Linked DNA regions of Canis lupus familiaris. The protein of the gene in region 2 purifies or fractionates together with the protein of the main gene of each other region. This does not show direct contact. Links are inferred from orthologs where the notes say so. Each region holds a gene or a part of one and is shown on either strand. Other genes may lie near its edges. The genes, in order: LIG3 and POLB.

Evidence for each region.
Region 1: the proteins of POLB (region 2) and LIG3 purify together in Homo sapiens (affinity purification with mass spectrometry; 3 studies listed by BioGRID and IntAct, counting the BioPlex papers as one, with this or other methods). This does not show direct contact. The link is inferred for Canis lupus familiaris from reciprocal best matches to the Homo sapiens genes POLB and LIG3.

The regions. Positions count from the first base shown.
Region 1 is NC_049230.1:38,321,386-38,330,858, forward strand, and holds part of LIG3 (DNA ligase 3), read right to left. Parts: intron 8,877-9,473; coding exon 8,733-8,876; intron 6,969-8,732; coding exon 6,771-6,968; intron 5,992-6,770; coding exon 5,840-5,991; intron 4,532-5,839; coding exon 4,365-4,531; intron 4,254-4,364; coding exon 4,176-4,253; intron 3,699-4,175; coding exon 3,530-3,698; intron 1,798-3,529; coding exon 1,642-1,797; intron 1-1,641. UniProt on the Homo sapiens protein: Isoform 3 functions as a heterodimer with DNA-repair protein XRCC1 in the nucleus and can correct defective DNA strand-break repair and sister chromatid exchange following treatment with ionizing radiation and alkylating agents.
Region 2 is NC_049237.1:24,063,107-24,073,289, reverse strand, and holds the start of POLB (DNA polymerase beta), read left to right. Parts: upstream 1-4,524; 5' UTR 4,525-4,690; coding exon 4,691-4,751; intron 4,752-5,092; coding exon 5,093-5,150; intron 5,151-8,292; coding exon 8,293-8,359; intron 8,360-10,183.

The DNA.
Region 1 (9,473 bases), on a different chromosome or scaffold from region 2:
GTGATCTAAAGCCAGGCCAGAACGCAAGAGCCAGGCCCCAGAAGGAACACAGAACACCAACACGTGGAAGCCAAACTCAGGTCCAGAACAGACCTAGGCCTTACCCACCACTGAGACGACAGTTCGAGAGAGTGTTCGAGACCCAGGAAGAGGTCGGCCTGGGCTGAGCCACTCTGGGCCATGATGGAAAGTTTGGAGGAAAAAGGAAGAAACAGGGAGTTGGGTATGTGGAGGAGGAGGTAGGGGCAGACACCTGTGGAAGGGAGGCAGCAGTTCAAGCAGCAGGCACCTGTGGGGAGAACAGGTGAGTTATGACAAGATGGATGGAAAGGAGGCAATGAACCCTCTTAGGAGCAACAAGGAAACAGAAGGGTCTTCTCCAGGGTGGGAGCTTGGGACCCGCAGCCATCTTCAGAACAGTACGAAAGGACGTTTGCAATCAGAGTTTTTCCTGATACAGGCAGATCCCTAGTCTCTGAGAGTTCCAGACAGGGAGTAGTCCCACTGTGACGGAGGGTGGCCCCTGCCACATGATACCAGCAGTGAGGTCCGGAGAGCACACTTGCTACCTATGGGGCTTGGAGTGGGGAGAGAGGAGGCCTGTATAACTGTCCCCCAAGCACAGGAGAGACAAGGGACAACTGGTAAGAGAGAGTCAGGAAAGGTCTAGAACTCTGAAAGCTGGGCCCAAACCTCTTCCAGGTAGCAGAGGTGCCCACTGAGCAGCAACCCAGGAGAGTTCCTGGACAAGGTTACTGGGCCCCACCAAGCCGGTGAGTCTGCACTAATCTCCCTGGGGAGGCCAATGCTTAGCCCTCCTCTGCATATCTGAAATGAATGGCCCAATGCCCGGTGCTCCAGCAGGGAGGCAGGGGTGAGGGAAGCACGCGAGCCACCCAACACATCTCCTCCACCCCCAGGGCTCTGAAAAATGGAGTCTGTCCTGGGAGAGAAGGCATAGCAAGCACAGAGAGTCCCCTCTACTCAAAGGCTACTGGGGCCAGATATCCCAGCAGCTTTTCCCTGAGGAGTGCCCCAAAGCTCACAGAAACCCTGGCTGCTGAGGACTCAGGGGCAAGGTTCTTAAAGCCCCTTAATAAAGGACAGGAGTCTGTGCTCTCAGATGTCCCCACTGGATTGTGTTTACATCACAATGTAAGCTTCTGGCGGGGGAGGAGGGCAAGTACTTTTGTCCATTTTTTTTTACTGCTGTACATCCACTATCAAGAATAGCACCTAGCGCAGACTAAGCACTCAGTAAAGGCTTATCAAATTCATGAAGGACAGCCCAATAGCTTCTTTGTCCCTAACCTGTAATTTCACTCGTGGAGCACACAGGACATGGAAACGCAGAAGACAAGCACTGCAAGTCACTTGCCAGGTGAGCTCATGGTCCCAGCATCAATGTGGGCAAGGGGAATGTCACCGTCCCCTGGGGCTCTGTGCTAACCCAAGTGTGGGATCTTCGGGTGTCCCCACTGAGCAGCCCTTCATTGCAAGACTCCAAAAATACATACATTCATTCAACAAATACAAAAGAAACTCTACTGCATACCAGAGCTGAAAGGACTACAGAACCACAGCCTCGAGGTTCTTAGGGGAAGGGAGGGAGATGGTCCCAGCAGAGGAAGGGACCTGTACCTTGTGAGGCAGCACAGGCTTAAGGCTGCGGCTGAAGTAGCTGAAGTGATCCCCGTTCTTATGCACCTGGACTCGTTCCCCATCGTACTTGATCTCGGAAAACATGCCGTTAGGACACTTCTTCATCGCATGCTCGATGGACTTGCAGGCCTCGGCCTTGGGAGGGGGAAGGGGAAAGAAAAGCCTGGAGACTTATAGGTGTTCTTCACTGGGGGCTGCTTGGGCATGACAGCCCCAGAGTCCAGGTCCCAAGGCCTGCTGACCACAGGATACCCTCCAGGCAGACTGCTCAAGAGCTGGGGGAAATGTACAAGGCTAGGCAGTGCTTATTTGGACTATAAGCATCACTGCAGCTAAAACAGGAGCTGGGCTTTTGGGGACTACAAATAAATAAAATTCCACTGAAACAGTATTTCATTTTTTTTTTCTCAGTAATTCAGGATCTTGCAGGGCCTTGGCTTCCTATTAAACACAGCAGTAGGGATGCCTGGGTGGCTCAGTGGTTGAGTGTCTGCCTTTGGCTCAGGGTCCTGGGATCGAATCCCACATCGGGCTCCCTAAGAGGAGCCAGCTTCTCCCTCTGCCTGTGTCTCTGCCTCTGTCTCTCATGAATAAATAAATAAAATCTTAAAAAAAAATCCCCCAAAACAGCAGTGACCTCAGCACAGGAGATATGTAGAGGGGAAGATAAAGAGAGGTAGGCGACAGAGAGGCTGGCATGGTAGCAGTGGTCAGAGAGCCCCAGGACAGGCCACAAGAGTGCCTCTGCACATACCAGTGCCATCCAGACTCAACCTAACCACTACCATCCTGGGGGTGTCTGTATGTGTCAGATCATCTTATGTGATAGACACAGTTTTCATTTTATGGATGAGAAAACCAGTTTGAAGAGCATTAGAAGTCCTCACTTCAAGTTATACAGCAAGTGAGGGGCAGGAATGATGCTAGGCCCAACTCCAAAGCCTGTGTAGTTTATCACGAAACTATCTAACCTATACACTCTTTGAATAAATGGCAGGTTGTACAACAGACTCCAAGAAGAATTCGTATGAAAGTCAGAAAGATCACTACTGTGATCTGAGTCCTGTCCCTGGGATGCAGAGCTCACTACTTTGGTGCTGGCCGTGCCACATTCCGGGAGAGAGAAAACACTTCCCCATCCCAAACACAGAACCCTAACCAAAGGCTGTAGTCTATATTGTAGACTACATGTCACAAGACAGGCTCATGAAAGGCACTGCACCCCAATGGAGCAACCCCAAGGCTCTCACTAGGCATGGCATTTGGGGAGGGTCCCACTGCCCAGAAAAACCAATGTAGATAGGAAATCCTACTTCTCATGAAATGAGCAGAGGCTCAAGATGATCTTGAGCAGATGCTCAACCACTGAGCCACCCAGGGCTCCCATGTTATACCAAGTCAGACCTGGTCTTCATTCCTTAGGCTTGTTTCCAGAAGAAAGAGGTCAAGTCACTGTGTCACAGGAAGCCTGGCTCTGCCACTATAACTGTCAGAGCTACTCTGGGGTAGGTCACAGAACTTTAGGAGTTAATGTATCCACCTATCTTTAGGAAAGATGACTGAAAAAGGATTCTAACTAGATGCTTCAGATGGTTTCATACATAATTCACGCAAGGAAATGAAAAACCAAGAAAGGCTAGGTAATTCATTCCAGATTCTACAGCTTGCTGGCGGCAGAGCTGGGCCTCAAGTTCAGACATTTCTACCAGACCACAGTCTTCTCCTTCACCTTTATACACCCATTGAGATATACCCTTTTGCATCTCCATTGTGCCTGACCCAAACTCCTCCGACATTCATACCCTCCCAGATCTCACAGGGAAGGTTAGAACATCTGGACAAAGTAGGGCCAGAGCAGCATCCTTACCAGCATGGGCTGCACTGGCGTCATCAAGGAAGCCTGGACACTCAGAGCTCGTCTCTGGCCTGGCTCCTTCTCCACCTCCTGCTCGTTGCGGAGGACCCGCTCGACCACATCCTGCAGGTTGCGTGAGGCTTTGAAGGCTTCATAGGCATTGGGGTCAAGGGCATCTAACCTGCCGGGGCAGACAGGAGCAAAAAAAAAAAAACAAAAACCATTGCCTTTGACCTTATTGCTTTAGCTAGCTAGCAGTCAGTTCTTGCAGAGAGGAAGGATTCCAATATAGGGAGAAAGCTTACGTTCTACTGTTTAAAGCCTTCTGCAGGATAAAATGTTCTTGGAAAACTCAATGATTTTGAGATCCTGGGTCAACATGGATACTGCCTTAAGCAAAGAGGGAGCTAGAGTGGGCAAGTAACTCATACTCTATTTATTGAACATTTCTATGCTTTCAATTCTAATAACTATGTGAGAAGGGTATTCTGACATTTCATATAAGAAAATGGAGACTGAGCTAGGTCAAGTGATGGGCCCCGAAGGAAGGAGTAAGGTGGAACCAGGACTTGAATCCAGATCAGGACTTAAAACTCCTGACACCAGCTGGCAACACAGGAAGCCAGCAGCTAAGGCTGTCAGAGGGATTGGTACTTACACGTGTTTTGCACCCGAGTTCATCTTCAGATCGTGTTTGATCAATCTGATGATGCACTTAAGGTCATTGGCTGTACACCTAGGGGGAAGGCACATTCCACTTGGTCTTTGGAGAGCTCTGGACCCCTAAACCTTCCTTTCCTGGTGATTCTATCACCCCAAGCCCATCCTCACTGGGCAGCTCTCCCACCTGGAGGCGATGTCCTGCAGGGCCTGTTGCTGCTCATCCTCCTTGGTGAGCTTGGAGAGCTGAAGGAGGAATTTGTCCACTTCCTGGATGGTAAGAAGGCTCTTGGCAGCTGGGGGGAAAGATCTGCTCTGCTCAAAGAAGACTCTGATTGTCTCTGACACGTCGCCCTGTCTCCAAAAACCAAAATTGTTGCAACCCCAGAATGGCCGAGTGTTTCCCCCAAGCCTTCAGGACTAACAGTGAACATCACTCATGTCCCCAACTCACACATATTAATCTCACTTCTTGGACAATCTATCCCACCCACAGTTTCTGAAAGAGCACCTCTACCCACCACAAGATCTGGCCACCTGCCTTGGCCGAGAGGTGATATAAGGACTAATCCAGGACTGAGCCAATTTGATTCTTGTTAGAATTTTTTTTAAGCTTTTTAAAAAATTTTTATTTATTTACTAATGAGAGATACAGAGAGAGAGGCAGAGACACAGGCAGAGAGAGAAGCAGGCTCCATGCAGGGAGCCTGACGTGGGACTCAATCCCGGGTCTCCAGGATCACGCCCTGGGCCAAAGGCAGGCACCAAACCAATGAGCCACCCAGGTGTCCCTGATTCCTGTTAGAATTTGAACTAAGCGGGGGGCACCTGCATGGCTCAGTCAGTTAAGTGTCTGACTCTTGATTTTGGCTCAAGTCATGATCTCAGGATTGTGAGATTGAGCCCTCTTGGGCTCATGTGCTGGGTGTGGAACCTGCTTAAGATTCTCTCTCCCTCTGCCCCTCCCCTACTGCCCTCCTCTCTCTCTCGAAAAATATTTAAAAAAATAATGAATTTGAACTAAGAAACAAATATGGTCATCAGATAAGGGGGGGTGGCTTGGATAAAACCTTCCATGATGCCAAAACTGGAGTCACGAATAAACAAAGCTGAATGTTATACCAAGTTTTTTTTTTTTTTTTTTTTTAAATTTTGAAAAGATTTTATTTTTTATTCATGAGAGACACACAGTGAGATGCAGAGACACAGGCAGAGGGAGAAGCAGGCTCCATGCAGGGAGCCTGATGCGGGATTCGATCCCGGGACCCTGAGACCCCAGGACCATGTCCTGGGCCAAAGGCAGATACTCAAGCACTGAGCCACCCAGGGCTCCCATGTTATACCAAGTTATACTGAAAAAAAGCAAAAAAAAAAAAAAAAGTAGGGTCCTGAACAGGAACCCAAGGAGAGACCATGGGAGATCTCAAATCCTGTCCTTCGAAATCTAGGCCCCTTGGGGCTCTGTGGCAGTATGACTGCAATCCTCAGAATCTTGTGAAACTAACGGCTGTAGCCTCACATTGAGCTCTCATAAAGGAAGCTTGCTCAAATGGGTTTCAGTTTCCTGAAACAGTATGTGCCCCAACGAGAAAAAAGAGGCTGCAGGTGCCTGGCTTGGCAGAGCCCCACCTGGAACGCTGCCCACCCTCCCTTTCCTCTGACCTGCTCTAGGTCCCGTGCCATATCATCTGGGTTGCAGTTAAAAATGCGGCTGAAAAGCTTCACAATCTGCTTATCATTCAAGTTGTAAACACTCTTAATAACACCCGGCAGCAGCAGCTTCACTGTTAGGTACACGTCACCGTGGAAACCATCTGGAGACAGAAGAATCGAAGCCTTCTTGAGAAATGGAGCTTAAACAAATACATACATAAACTCAAGGACTGAAAGAGAGGTCTACATTGCTGTCTGCGCTACCACGATACAAGATACCCTGCGTGTTTTGTTACAGTAGTAGAGACCACAGCATCTGGTGGCTGGTGGCTCACGTGGCTACCTCCCCTGGATGAACTCCCAGAGGGCATGGCTACACTTTCAGTTCAGTGTCGCCAGCGATGAGCACATTACAGATGCTCAATGATGATTTGTTAGATGAATAAAAGAACTGGAAGACTACTCCAGCTGTGCATGTGGGTCACAAAAACCTGATCAAACATGCAGGGTAGTGAACTTTCCTCTTGGTCAAATGCAATACATTCTCCTGGCCTCCAGGGGATCAAATAAAGGCAGAAGAAGAAGGATACCAATATGCTCTGAGCAGAACTGGCTGTATTCTTTGTGGGGCCCAATAAGAAGTAAAAGGCAAGAGTTCTCTGTTCAAAATTATTATGAATTTCAAGGGGTGCCTGGCTGGTTCAGTCGGTAGAGCATACAACTCTTGATCTTGAGGTTGTAAATTTGAGCCCCAAGTTGGGTATAGACATTACTTAAAAATAAAAAATCTTAAGAGAGAAAGAGAGAGACTTTAAAGGCAGTATTAACAGAGGATTAAACCACGCATGGGGCCCTGTGCAAAGGTATGGTTCACATGCCCATGAAACCAGCCATGGCTCTAAGCTCTTCAGAGGAAAACCCATCCAGTTCTAGATCCCACCTCCTGCTGAACCTTTCCGAAGAAAGTCCTGGATGATCTGGGTCTTCGTGTTGTAGCTAGGATTCTCAGCCACCATGGCACACAGCTTCCGAAACTCACGTAGCAGACAATCCTTGTGCTTGGGATCACATCTGCTTGAGGACAAACTTGCCTTAGGGGTAGGGCTTGAGCGGGCTTCCCCAGAGTTGTTGGGCTTGGCTGTTGGAGAAAGAAACATCAGGGATGATTCATTTGCCTTGCTGAGAAGGAAGAAAGGGAAACTAATAACTCTGCTGGCGCTCCAAATGGAGCTCCACTTCATTGCCCCAAATCACCCTATGGGGTGGATACCATGACACCCATCTTACAGGTAATGAAACAGGCTCACACTTGCGCAGAGGCTCAGCTGCTGTGCGTTTCTTTATAGAAGTGCCGCATAGAACAAGTAGCCTTTGTGCAGAGGGTGGGCCTTAGAGCAATGGTAAAGCTGACCGAAAAAGTGCAGAAGAGAATGGAAGAGAAACCAAGGGACAGGTTCATCAGTGGTAAACTGTCACTATCGTAGACTTGGGGCTGGAAGAAGCCTTAAAGATGACCTGGTTCAATCTCTTCTTACTGCTGAGAAGCCCAAGACCCGAGAGAAGGCATCCCAAGGCTTTTGGTGCTCTCTCCCACTCACCACTTCTTAGTGCCAAAATAAAAGGGGGTCAATGAGTAAGACTTTCCTCCAGACACCCCAAAATACTGTACAACTCCTGAGTGATTCTCTCTTACCTCCTTTACAAAGCACATTTCATTCTGCAAGCTTGCAGCAGAACCATTAGCAAGCAGGCTGCTGATGTAAGCTTCCTCTTGCCTGGGGTCTGTAAATTATAAATCCATCCTCATCTCTGACCTAGGGTCTAAAGATGATTTTAGGGAACAAAATCTCCAAAGTGTTGGTGCTTGGCAGATTGTAAGACTTTAGAACACCCCATTTCTCTCAGCTCCTCCCAAATTTCCCTCCCTAGGACCTGGGCCCTTCCAGGAACATGCTGTCCTTATTGCCACCGGGACTCTTCTGTATTTCTGGTTTTGGCCTACCACCAAAGAAAAAACAAACCTCAGGGTTACTGATTTTGCCATCTTTTCTCCAGTAGTTCTCATGCAAATACTGTAGGGTAAAGGAGGCAGGTGTTACCATTCCCCCTTCACAGATGAGGCCACAGAGGCTCCGAGGTAAAGCAACTTGCTCCCCTGAGCAAGCTGTCCCATGGCAGCCCTGGGACCAAGACCCAGGTCTCCCAACGTCAAGTCTACGTTTCTTTCACTTGCTTAAAGCTCCTTCCCCGAACAACTTCTGAGTTCATGTGTTCTGCTCTACTTTCTTTACCTGAGTTGGTCACAAGAATGTCTCCCAATAAGAGGCAACAAGGTGCAAGGTAAAAGAGCACAGGTGTTGGGAGTTAAAGAGACCTCAATATCAATACTAACTCCATAATGAACTGGACATCAGCTCTCTCACTCATAAAATGGGGCTCGCGAAAGTACTTCCTAAGGTTAACTGAAGAACAAACAAGTAACTACAGAGGTAAAAGTCCCGAACCCAATGCTCCCTATTATGTAAGGCCATGCAGGACATTGACCATACTTTCATCTCTGCTTTGGGCAAGTTTAGGGATGCAATTTCTCAAAATTCCTTCATTACTAAAACACAAGGAAGTTATAGGGTAGGTTATAATCATTTCCATCTGACCCAGGTGACTACTTCAAGGGGAAAAAGTCTTGAAAACACATCTTTTTTGTTGCACTAAAGATTAACGTATACAAAGAAATGCTATACCAGGGGAATGTTGAAAATTAGCCATTACCTGCCTCTTTGCTCAGACGGAAGCAAATTATGAATGAGGATAGATAGCACAGAATTTTCACTCTTGGCCAGAATCCCAAATAGGATTCCAAATTAAAAGGACCATAACAGCTAAAGTAGCTCAAATCTCTCACCTGAAAAACCAGAAAATTTCCGGGGATTGGTATTGGTGACAAATGAGGCACCTTTCACTGGAGAGGTCACCTGGCCAGTGGCTGTCAGCTTAGCCTGGACGACAGCTTTCTTCTTTGGTGTTCCTGTTGCCTTAGAAGACAGATCTGTAGGACCCCCAAAAGAGGGAAAATGTTTCAGTGAAAGATCCCTGAGAAAAACTTCCCAAGAATTTAACAACTGCTCTTACAGCCTTCCCAGATGAGTTATTACCGTGACATCACTCCAAGGTTGGCTGCGGACTGCTGACCTTTTTGAGTGGAGTCAGTGGGTGAGAGTCCTGGGGCGAGGAGCTCTTTACTTCTATTAGTAATTTATATTTTCATCGGCACTCTCCACCTCTTAACCCATATAGAATGACCTCCGGATTTGGGAAAAATCAGAACACATCTCCACAGATAAAACCTGGGGTCCTCAGCTCCATGGAATTAGCCCCAATTTATAGATGAATAAGAAAGTACAATGAAGATGGAGAACAGCAAGTATTAGGATGGCCCATGCAGGGAAAGTCCCTGTTGCTGAGTCTTCTGAGCTGTGTGAGTTTGATTCTACCTTGTTTTTCGATTAATCAAGAAGTAACACAGGCTGAGGCAGATGGCCAAGTCAGGGCAGGGCAGGGCAGGGCAGGATGGGGAGCTTGAGAAAAAAAAGTATACTCAAAGTAGCTTTCTCTCCTGGACATCTTCTCTCAAAGAACAGTGATA
Region 2 (10,183 bases):
CTGCCTATTTTTCACCTCTTACATTTAAAAACATTTTCCTCTCTTATGCTCTCCTGTCTTAGGCTCTTAAATAGTCTTCCTGGTTCTAACATCTCCTGTTTATTTCTCGGCCTTTTGGCTAAGATCATGTGTCTAACATCTCCCATTTAACAAAAATTCATCCTCTATAGTGCTGTTAGAGTTAAAATTGGAAAATGTCACTTGGCTGCTTGAAACCCTCTGTGACTCTACAGCGCCAAAGACCAATGTCTAGTCTCCACATCCTGGCTTACAATGACACTCATCTTGATTCCTAACCTCGTACTCCACCAACTTCTGTCCAATACTCTATTTTCCTCATATACACCATACTGTTTCTTCTCTCTGAAAGTGTTTTTACATGCCTTACCTACTCTAATCCTGTTCATCCTCACCAGTGGCTCTTCCTGTTTTTTGGCTGATTCTGTGACCTTGCCCTGACCTCTAAAATTCTAGACACACACAAGGAAGTTCTCTAATGTAGCCATATTCCCAAAGCAATTTATTCCTGCCTCATGGTTTTAAATACCATACAGATGCTGATGGTTTCAAAATTATACCTCCAGCTTGGATATCTCTCCTGAACCCCAGGATAATATATCCCACTGTCCCTTCAGCATTGTCAGGCTAGGTATACATCTCACATTCCATACTCAAGTCTTGATTTTTTCCCCTCCAAACTTGTTCTTCACAGTCTTCTATCTCCTTACATGACAGCTCTGTTCTTCCAGTTACTTAGTTCAATGGCCATGGATTCACCCTGACTACTCTCTTTTTTTCATACCCCACACCCAATTTATCCAATGAATCCTGTTGGTTCAACCTTCAAAATATATCCAGATCCGGAATACTTACAATTTTCTTCAGCGGCACTTTCTTTTTTTTTTTTTTTTTTCAGCGGCACTTTCTGCTCTCACTTTGCTACCACCACTCTGGCCACCTCTGTGTCCACTGAGCATGCTACACGATCCTTGGTACCATGATCTGCCATTCTCATCCTTGCTCACTCTGTACCATCAACACTATCTTCCTCACCCTCAATAAAAGAAAAATATTTCTTTTATTTTTAAAGATTTTATTCATTTATTCATGAGAGATACACAGAGAGAGGCAAAGACACAGGCAGAGGGAGAAGCAGGCTCCATGCTGGGAGCCTGACGTGGGACTTCATCCTGGGTCTCCAGAATCATCACACCCTGGGCTGAAGGTGGCGCTAAACCACTGAGCCACCTGGGCTGCCCGGCACTGATTTTTAAAAAGTATAATCCTCATATATACTACCCACATACAATGAGTATTTTATACTCCTATAAAAATGGCATAATACTCATATAGAACACAATACTTATATAAAAAACAATCCCAGAGTTCCCTAAAGTTGTAACTTTCATTTTTCAAAGGTGAATAAAAACTTTTTACTTTACTTTTCTTTTCTTTTCTTTTTTTTTTAGAGAGAGCATGAGCAGGGGAGGGGCAGAGAGTGTCCCCAGGCAGGCTCCTCACTCACCCAGGGCAGAGCTTGACTTCGGGGTTGGAACCCACCCCACAATCCCAAGATCACAATCTGAATCAAAATTAAGAGTCAATGCTCAACTACCTGAGCCATTCATGCGCTTCTGAATAAAAACTTTCTTAATTTAATGAGGGATGATCATTCTTCCGAACAAAATAATATGAATATGGCCTGGAATAAAGATTGAGTAGGAAAAAAGCTGAACTGGGAAAAATACTAAGACAATTCATATATCTAAACAAAGATGGGAATTAAGGCATTAAGTATCTGTGTTAAAAAGGCAAGGTACCTTTTCAGCTTTTGACTCAAAGAGGGCAAAGGTGTAACTGTCTTCTGTTCATCCGACACCAACACCAGCCGCCTCCTCCATGCCGCCTAAGTTCAACCCCAACGAGATCAAAGTCGTGTACCTGAGATGCACCAGCAGTGAGGCTGGTGCCAAGTCTGCCCTGGCCCTGAAGATCAGCCCCCTGGGTCTGTCTCCAAAAAAAAAGTGATGACATCACCAAGGCAACCAGTGATTGGGAGGGTTTGCAGATTACAGTGAAACTGACCATTCAGAATAGACAGGCCCAGATTGAACTGTTACCCTCTGCCTCTGTCCTGATTATCAAAGCCCTTAAGGAACCACCAAGAAACAGAAAGAAGCAGAAAAACATTAAGCACAGTGGAAATGTCACTTTTGCTGAGATTGCCAATATTGCCCGACAGATGCTTCAGTGATCTTTAGCCAGAGAATTCTCTAGAACCTTTAAAGATGTCTTGCGACTGCCCAGCTGTGGGCTACAATGTTGAGGCTGCCACCCTCAGGACATCACAGATGACATCAACAGTAGTGCGATGGAATGTCTAGCTAGTTAACTACAAAGGAAAATATTTCAAAAAAGGATGATTTGACAACCAAATAAAAAAGTAAATAAATAGGCAAAGTACAAGTTGGAGAAATACAAATATTTGCAAAAAACATACAATATACATAAAGGATTAGTATTTATATATAAAAGAGCTAACAAATTAAAGCAGACAACTATCCCTAAGAGAAAAATGAACAAAAGATACACAGAAAATTCACAAAGGAAGAAACACAAATATCCAATAAGCATAACTTAAGATATACAATGATGTTATGAAAAAACAACCAACCGCAACCTTGTTAATCAAAGAAATCGCTTGTATCTAAAGCATTATTCCATTGTTGAAAAAGAATTTTTTTTAACTTTTATTTATTTATGATAGTCACAGAGAGAGAGAGAGAGAGAGAGAGGCAGAGACATAGGCAGAGGGAGAAGCAGGCTCCATGCACCGGGAGCCCGACGTGGGATTCGATCCTGGGTCTCCAGGATCGCGCCCTGGGCCAAAGGCAGGCGCTAAACCGCTGCGCCACCCAGGGATCCCTCATTGTTGAAAAATAATGATAATTTTTAAAGAACTGGATTACAAGACTAGAAGTACATCGCAAAAAAATTAATCATGGTTGAGCTGGATGGTGAGATAATTATTTATTTTTTCTCCATTTATATATTTTTCAAATATTTTACTTATTTATTTGAGAGACAGCATGAGCAGAGGGCAGAGGCAGAGGGAGAAGCAGGCTCCATCCCAGGATCCTGGGATCATGACCTGAGCCAAAGGCAGATGCTAAATCAACTGAGCCAGCCAGCTGCCCCCATTTGTACACTTTTCAAATATTTCTACAATAGTCGTGTATTATTTTGCAATAAGCTTTTAGTTTTATTTCCATACAAAGCGATTGCCTGGAATTGGCAGTTCAGTATGAACCCAGGAGACACACTTGTAAAATAAAACATTGCTGATGTCACATTTCCATTTTATCAATTTTATTATTATTATTATTTTAAAAAAGATTTTATTTATTTATTCATGAGAGAGAGAGAGAGAGAGAGACATAGGCAGAGGGAGAAGCAGACTCCATGCCGGGAGCCTGATGTGGGCTCCATCCCGGGACTCCAGGATCATGCCCTGGGCTGAAGGCAGGCGCTCAACCGCTGAGCCACCCAGGGGTCCCTAAATTTTATTATTTTTAAAAGATTTTATTTATTTATTCATGAGAGACAGAGGCAGAGACATAGGCAGAGGGAGAAGTAGGCTCGCGGCAGGGACTCATTCCAGGACCCTGGGATCACCGCTGGAGCCAATGGCAGATGCTCAAACCAGGTGCTCCTATAAATTGTATTTATAGTACAAGTAATCTCTACATCCAACATGAGGCTTAAACTTACAACCCCCAGCTCAAGAGTGGCACGCTCACAGTCGGGGACTGAGCCAGCCAGGCACCCAGGTCATCATGCTTTAACGACAGTTTCATTGTTTATTATTATGTAGGTTAAGCACTTTTCCTCTTCCACTGTTCCCCCGCCCCCCTCTTTAGCCCCCACTGCAAAAGGCAGGGGAATAAAAAAATGAAATACCTTTGACATTGATTGGCATATCCACTAAATATGTTAGTATAGGAGGCTTTCCTGTAATTGGCATATTTCGTTCCAGGCTCCTGCCTGCACCCGAGATAGGAAACTCCACTGCACTGTTCACTGGCACTACATTCTTACAGAAAATGTGGACAGTAAATATGATGCAGATGTTCGTTTCTTACCACGTATAATAAGTCATGCATTCAATAACTATTTCTGTGCACATATGATACATGCACAAGAGGAGTCTTTGGTATGCTATCTCCCACCCACCACCTGACGTTTTGACTTTACAAAGTCGATGCCTTCTTTTCCCCTTCTGGGGAGAGAAGTGTACTGGGAATAGAGACATAATGTCTTCTAGGAATGCAGGTCTTCTTCCAGGAACGCAGTTAGCAAACACGAGCTTCGGTCCAGCCATCCCAGCCTAGCTCTCCGGCACCGCGCTCGAGCCCCGCCCCGAGCCCCGCCCCGAGCCCCGCCCCGAGCCCCGCCCCGAGCCCCGCCCCGAGCCCCGCCCCTTCTCGACACGCCCCCGGCGCGTGACGCCATGACGCGCGCCGTGCGCCGCGCCTCCTGTCAGAGGCGGCCATTGTTCAGTGGGTCTCGCTGGTTGTGCCGGGGCTGAATTGGTCCTGCCCCTCTCTCCAAGTCCCGGCCTCTCCCTGAAGCTGGGAGAGGGGGCCAGCCCCGACTCTGAGCACTCTGCGGTCCTCGGGTGCAGGCCACCATGAGCAAACGGAAGGCACCGCAGGAGACGCTCAACGGGGGAATCACCGACATGCTCACAGGTTAGCACCGGGCCGGGCGCTGCTGGCTTTCTTCTTTCTTCTGGTCTCGTAGCCTTCCCTTGCTTCTCTGCGGTCCCCACAGCCCTGTGGATGGGGCCAGCCCCTTGCAGCGGGTCGTCTTCCGTGCGGATCTTCCTCCGCCGCCCATTGCTGGTGGCTGAATGTCAGTCCTGCTGGGGACCCCCGTGTCACCGCTGGGGCTGTGGTTGACCTGGCCCGCGTACAAGGGGGGGGGGGGTGTCACTCCCCCTTAAGACGCTATTACACCCCCTCTGGAAAGCTCAGTTCTCGTTTGTTTACTCGTGGTTCTTATTCACCCGAGCCTCTTGTTGCCTTTGCAGAACTCGCAAACTTTGAGAAGAACGTGAACCAGGCAATCCACAAGTACAATGCTTACAGGTGGGCCCGTGCAGCTTTCTCTGGTAGCGTGCGTCCTGGGATGTGTGGCAGTTAACAGGGCCGAGGGGCCAGTAGATATTTGGACCATATGAGAGGCGAATAAAGCAAGAACTGAGGGTATTGGCTCTGTGGTGGTACCTAACTGCGATCGTTCTGGGGTAACTTGGGCAGAACTCTGTAAGGATCGTTTCTGACGAGTTCCCAATTCTAATTGAAAACAGGTGTAGCTGATAATGTATTTTTCCCGTCATCAAATATGAATTGATGAAAATGGAGTTTGATTTTAAGCCATAATGAAAGACAGTGGATTAGGTCTGTGCTGTGAAATGTTATTCTGGTTAGTGTTTGGCTGATCCTTGGCTCTCATCCTTGTCCATCTCACCAGAGCCTTTATGGCAGCCGATAATCCCACATCCAGTTATTTGTGCCCCTCAGCCTACAAACATGTCCAAGTCCCTCAGCTCTTAAAAGCAAAAACAAAGCAGTCTTGTCTTCCCTTTACCCTTTAGGTAGGTGCTGTCTCTCCTCTCCACTTTACAGTTAAACTTCTTGAATAATCTGTGTTTCTTGCCTTGACTTCCTCAGTCCTCATCATTCATTATCTCATTGTGGTATAATTTCCATCCCACCATTTCTCTGAAGGTGCTCTCACCTGCATCCCACCTTATTGGGCTCTCATTGGCATTCACCATTAGCTCATTCCATTTAAGTCTTACCCTTGAATTCTGGGATGGCACTCCTGTCTGTTCTTTCACCTCTTATATCTTCCTTTCAATGACAGTAGTTCCTGGAGGTCTGCCCTTAGTCTTTTTTTCGCACTTTTATAATTTCCTTGGCAATCTTACCATTCTTGGCTTTGGATACTGGTTATGTCAATTGGCTCCAAATCTGTATCTCATTGGGCTTTTCTCCAGATTCTTAGGTTTCTGTTACCTTTATCTTCATCCTTTCAAAGTTGAGTTCAGCTCAATACTTCCCTTCCCATTCAACATAATTAAAAACGGATTATGCTCCTTTCCTTATCCCTCTTAACTTCCTGTTTAAAGTAATTGTACTATCATCACTTGGTGATTTAAAAATCAGAGACATATTCAACATTATATTCTTTTAAAAAAAATATTTTTTCTGTCTATTCATGAAAGACACAGAGAGAGAGGCAGAGACACAGGCAGAGGGAGAAGCAGGCTCCATGCAGGAGCCTGATGTGGGACTGGATCCGGGATGACTCCAGGATGATTCCCTGAGCCAAAGGCAGATACTCAACCACTGAGCCACCAGGAGTCCCACAACATTATATTCTGTGTAAGTCACAGCAGGCTTCAGAGAGGAGGTGTTTAGTTTTTAAGGAGCCTGTCAGGGGATAAGTGAAAGGAAGAACAGTCTAGAGAAAGGAAACAAAATGTGCCAAGGCACTGAGACCTGAAGGAGTATAACATTTTCCCAGACGTCAGTAATTCACTTTGTTTATGGAGTATGGCCTGAGTGGGAAGTAAGTCTGGAAAAGCAGGTGATGCCTGCACGCACTTCCCTACCCTGATGAAACATTTCTCTTGATTGTGGCCAAAGTATTCCTTTGAAAATAGTTATCTGATCCTGTCATTCTTCCATATCAGATAATTAAATATTTCCTCTTTACCTTGATAAAGCTCAAATGCATTGTGGTGGCATACAAAAAGCCTTTCATGCTTTAATTCTTCCTTTCAGGCCCCATAATGCCAAGTTGTCTGGAACTGCTTTTCTTTACTGAAACAATTCCCTCAGTAAACTGCCCTCAACCTACTTTTCCAGACTCATCCTCAGTAATAGAGAAGTTCAAATCCAAATCTAAAAGCTTATATGTACGAGAATGATATGAAAAACCAAGGCAGCAAAGACTACCCAATACTTATGCTTTAGACTTAGATGTACTCTGCTTTTATCAGCCTCTCTGCTAAACTGCATTTAGCATTGAAATTATACACCAGAGACCATCAAATACTCCAGGGTGTGTCCAGTGTGTCACCAGATTATTGAGCTGAATGTGCGTGGAGATGGGCAAGAATCATAGGCCAGTGCTTTATGTGGAACTGAAATGAGCAATGAAGAAAAAGAAAATATGTATAAGGACATAGGGGAATGCAGTTGTAGTTTTAAGCTCTGAATTTAAAACTAGCCATCTAGGGGCACCACTCCCGGGATCGAGTCCCACGTTAGGCTCCCTATGGAGAGCCTGCTTCTCCCTCTGCCTGTATCTCTGCCCCTCTGTGTCTCTCATGAATCAATCAATCAATCAATCTTTTAAAAAATAAGTAAAAATAGCCATCCAGGGTCGCCTGGGTGACGCAGTCTGAGTGTCCGACTCTTGGTTTCTGTTGAGGGTATTGGGATCAAACCCTGTGTAAGGCTCTGTGCTTGGAGTGGAGTCGGTTTGGGATTCTCTCCCTCCCCCTCTCTCCATCTCTGCCACTCCCCTGTCCCCTCTCCCTCTCCCCCTCCCTCTCCTTCCCTGCCCCTCCCCCACACATGCATGCTCTCTTTCTCTCATTTTCATTCTTATTATCATTCTCTCTCCCCTCTCTAAAATAAATAAATCTTTTTTTTTAAAAAAGCCCATAGCAAGGGACCCCTGGGTGGCTCAGTGGTTGAACGTCTGTCTGCCTTTGATTCCAGGGTGCTGGGATTGAGTTTTGCATCAGGCTCCCTGAAGGGAGTCTGCCTATGTCTCTGCCTCTCTGTGTGTGTGTCTCATGAATAAATAAAATATTAAAAACAACAACAACAACAAAAACCCCATAGCCATCCATAAGCCACTTTGGTATCTAGTATTCCAAATACCACTAGGTGGCACATTTTTTATGAGAGTTACGAACAACTTCTAAAAACTAGCTTAATCCCTAAAAGGAAAAGCTACTGGTGTGATGAATCTCCGTAATTATAAATATATAGGTAAAATTATCCTCAAATGGGAGGATTTTCAAGATACTTCTGAAAATTATGCAGGTGGTCTGTCAGCTTACTCGAGTTATTTTAAGTTTGACACAAATGTGGAAAATTAGTTACTGTCATAAAAGTTGAAGCTGCATATTTGTGTGTGTATTCTAATTTAAGAAAAATTAAGACTTCACTGGATTTCTAACTGAATTTCTTTTTTTTTTCTTCTCAGAAAAGCAGCATCTGTGATAGCAAAGTACCCACACAAAATAAAGAGTGGAGCAGAAGCTAAAAAATTGGTAAGTTTAGTGAGCAAGCTGAATTGAAGAGTTCACACATGTATAAATTTGGTGGATTCCCAGAAAACTAAATTTGCCTCTTTGAAGCTGCCTTCATCCACACTGGCAGATTTTACTGCTCCTGTTTTTACTGGGGAGTGTGGATTGAAATTTTGCTTTATATATATGTAATTAAATTTTTTCTATACCCTGCCCTATATATATATGTACTTACATTAAATTTCAGCTTGAGTGTCAGCTCTCAAGAACAGTATAGTGACAGAATGGTATTGGCTTGTTTTGATCCCAGCTATCTTTGTCTGATCCCCAGGTATAGGAACTTATGTGAGTTAATGAGTTAGTGTTCCCAAGGAAATCTTACCTACTAATCACATAATTAAGCCCCTTTGTGTACTATTTCCTTTAGCCCTCTTCTCTGTATTTTCCTTAAAGCCCTGTATGCTGTGTCACAGTATGTGTCATAGTTCCTAGAGGGTCATGTCTTAGTAACTTTACATTAATACAATTATATTGCTATGAATATCCTAGGAAAGTCTACCTATTGGTAGATTGTTCTCTTTCATCTAAATCTCACTAAAAGATTCTAAGTTCCTCAAACTTGAGGACTGAATCTTATTTGTCTTTTGTTAAAGATGTCAAACTGACATGGCTTCTGATTAGTCTAGGTCCTCACAGTTCACCTTCTTCTGTTGACAAAAGCACTCTAGAATTTAGGTAGCAACATTTGATTGTCTTTAATTTTCTCATGAGAGCCTTCAGAGTATGAACCATAACTGTCCTATTATTTTCACCTTCAGGGTCACAAAATTACCATAAATCTTGTACATTTTATGATTGACAGATTTTCTGTATTAATCATGTTTTACATCTTCATCTTGAATTTATTACTCAATACTGACCATGCCTTGGTGTACAGGTTTTAAATTCTTTGTGCTATAAACAATTCTCAGTGTCAGTATATCCTCCCCAAATAGGCTAGCCAAGAAAGTTATAAATACATTGGATTTTGATTCTGAGTTTTTCTGTTGGTGAACTCCCGCATTATTAACTTCAGGAGGTACTTCTGCTTCCATTCTGTTTGCCTTATATCACTATTGAATTTCTTTTTCGGGCAGACCCGGTGGCACAGTGGTTTAGCGCCACCTGCAGCCCAGAGCGTGATCCTGGAGACCCTGGATCGAGTCCCACATCAGGCTCTGTATGATGCCTGCTTCTTTCTCTGCCTCTCTCTCTCTCTCTGTCTCTATGAATAAATAAATAAAATCTTAAAAAAAAAAAAAGAATTTCTTTTTCTATGTTAACTGTATGTAGCCTACTCATTTATTAGATTTAAATTTTAGACAAGCTCTGATACACTTTATCCCAAATCTGAGCTTATGGTATATCCGTAAAAAGAACACAAAAATGCAAAATTCCTTTTGCATGAGACTGGACTTAATATGACAATCTCATCATTATTCCTTTCCAATATTGTATTAAAAATCACAGACCTACTGTTCGGCACATATGAGTGCTTCTCAAAAATTCTAGAAATCTGATGTTTCCAGAGTGAGTGTTTGCCTCTTAATCTTTAACGTTAGGTATAGAAAGTAGCCAGGGCCTAAATTACTTTAGGTCAGGATGAATCTTCTGACCTAGGAAATAAGAAACCTGAGCAGTTTCCGTTTTCTAGTTTATTTCCTATATCTTGTTCCCTTCTATTGGGTAATTGCTATTTTCAGAACTTGAATATGCATTCAGTAGTCTTGGAACACTTAATCATTAAATAAATCAAGAATATAGAAGGGTGAACTTAGGGCCAAGAGACAGTAGGAAATGACTGGC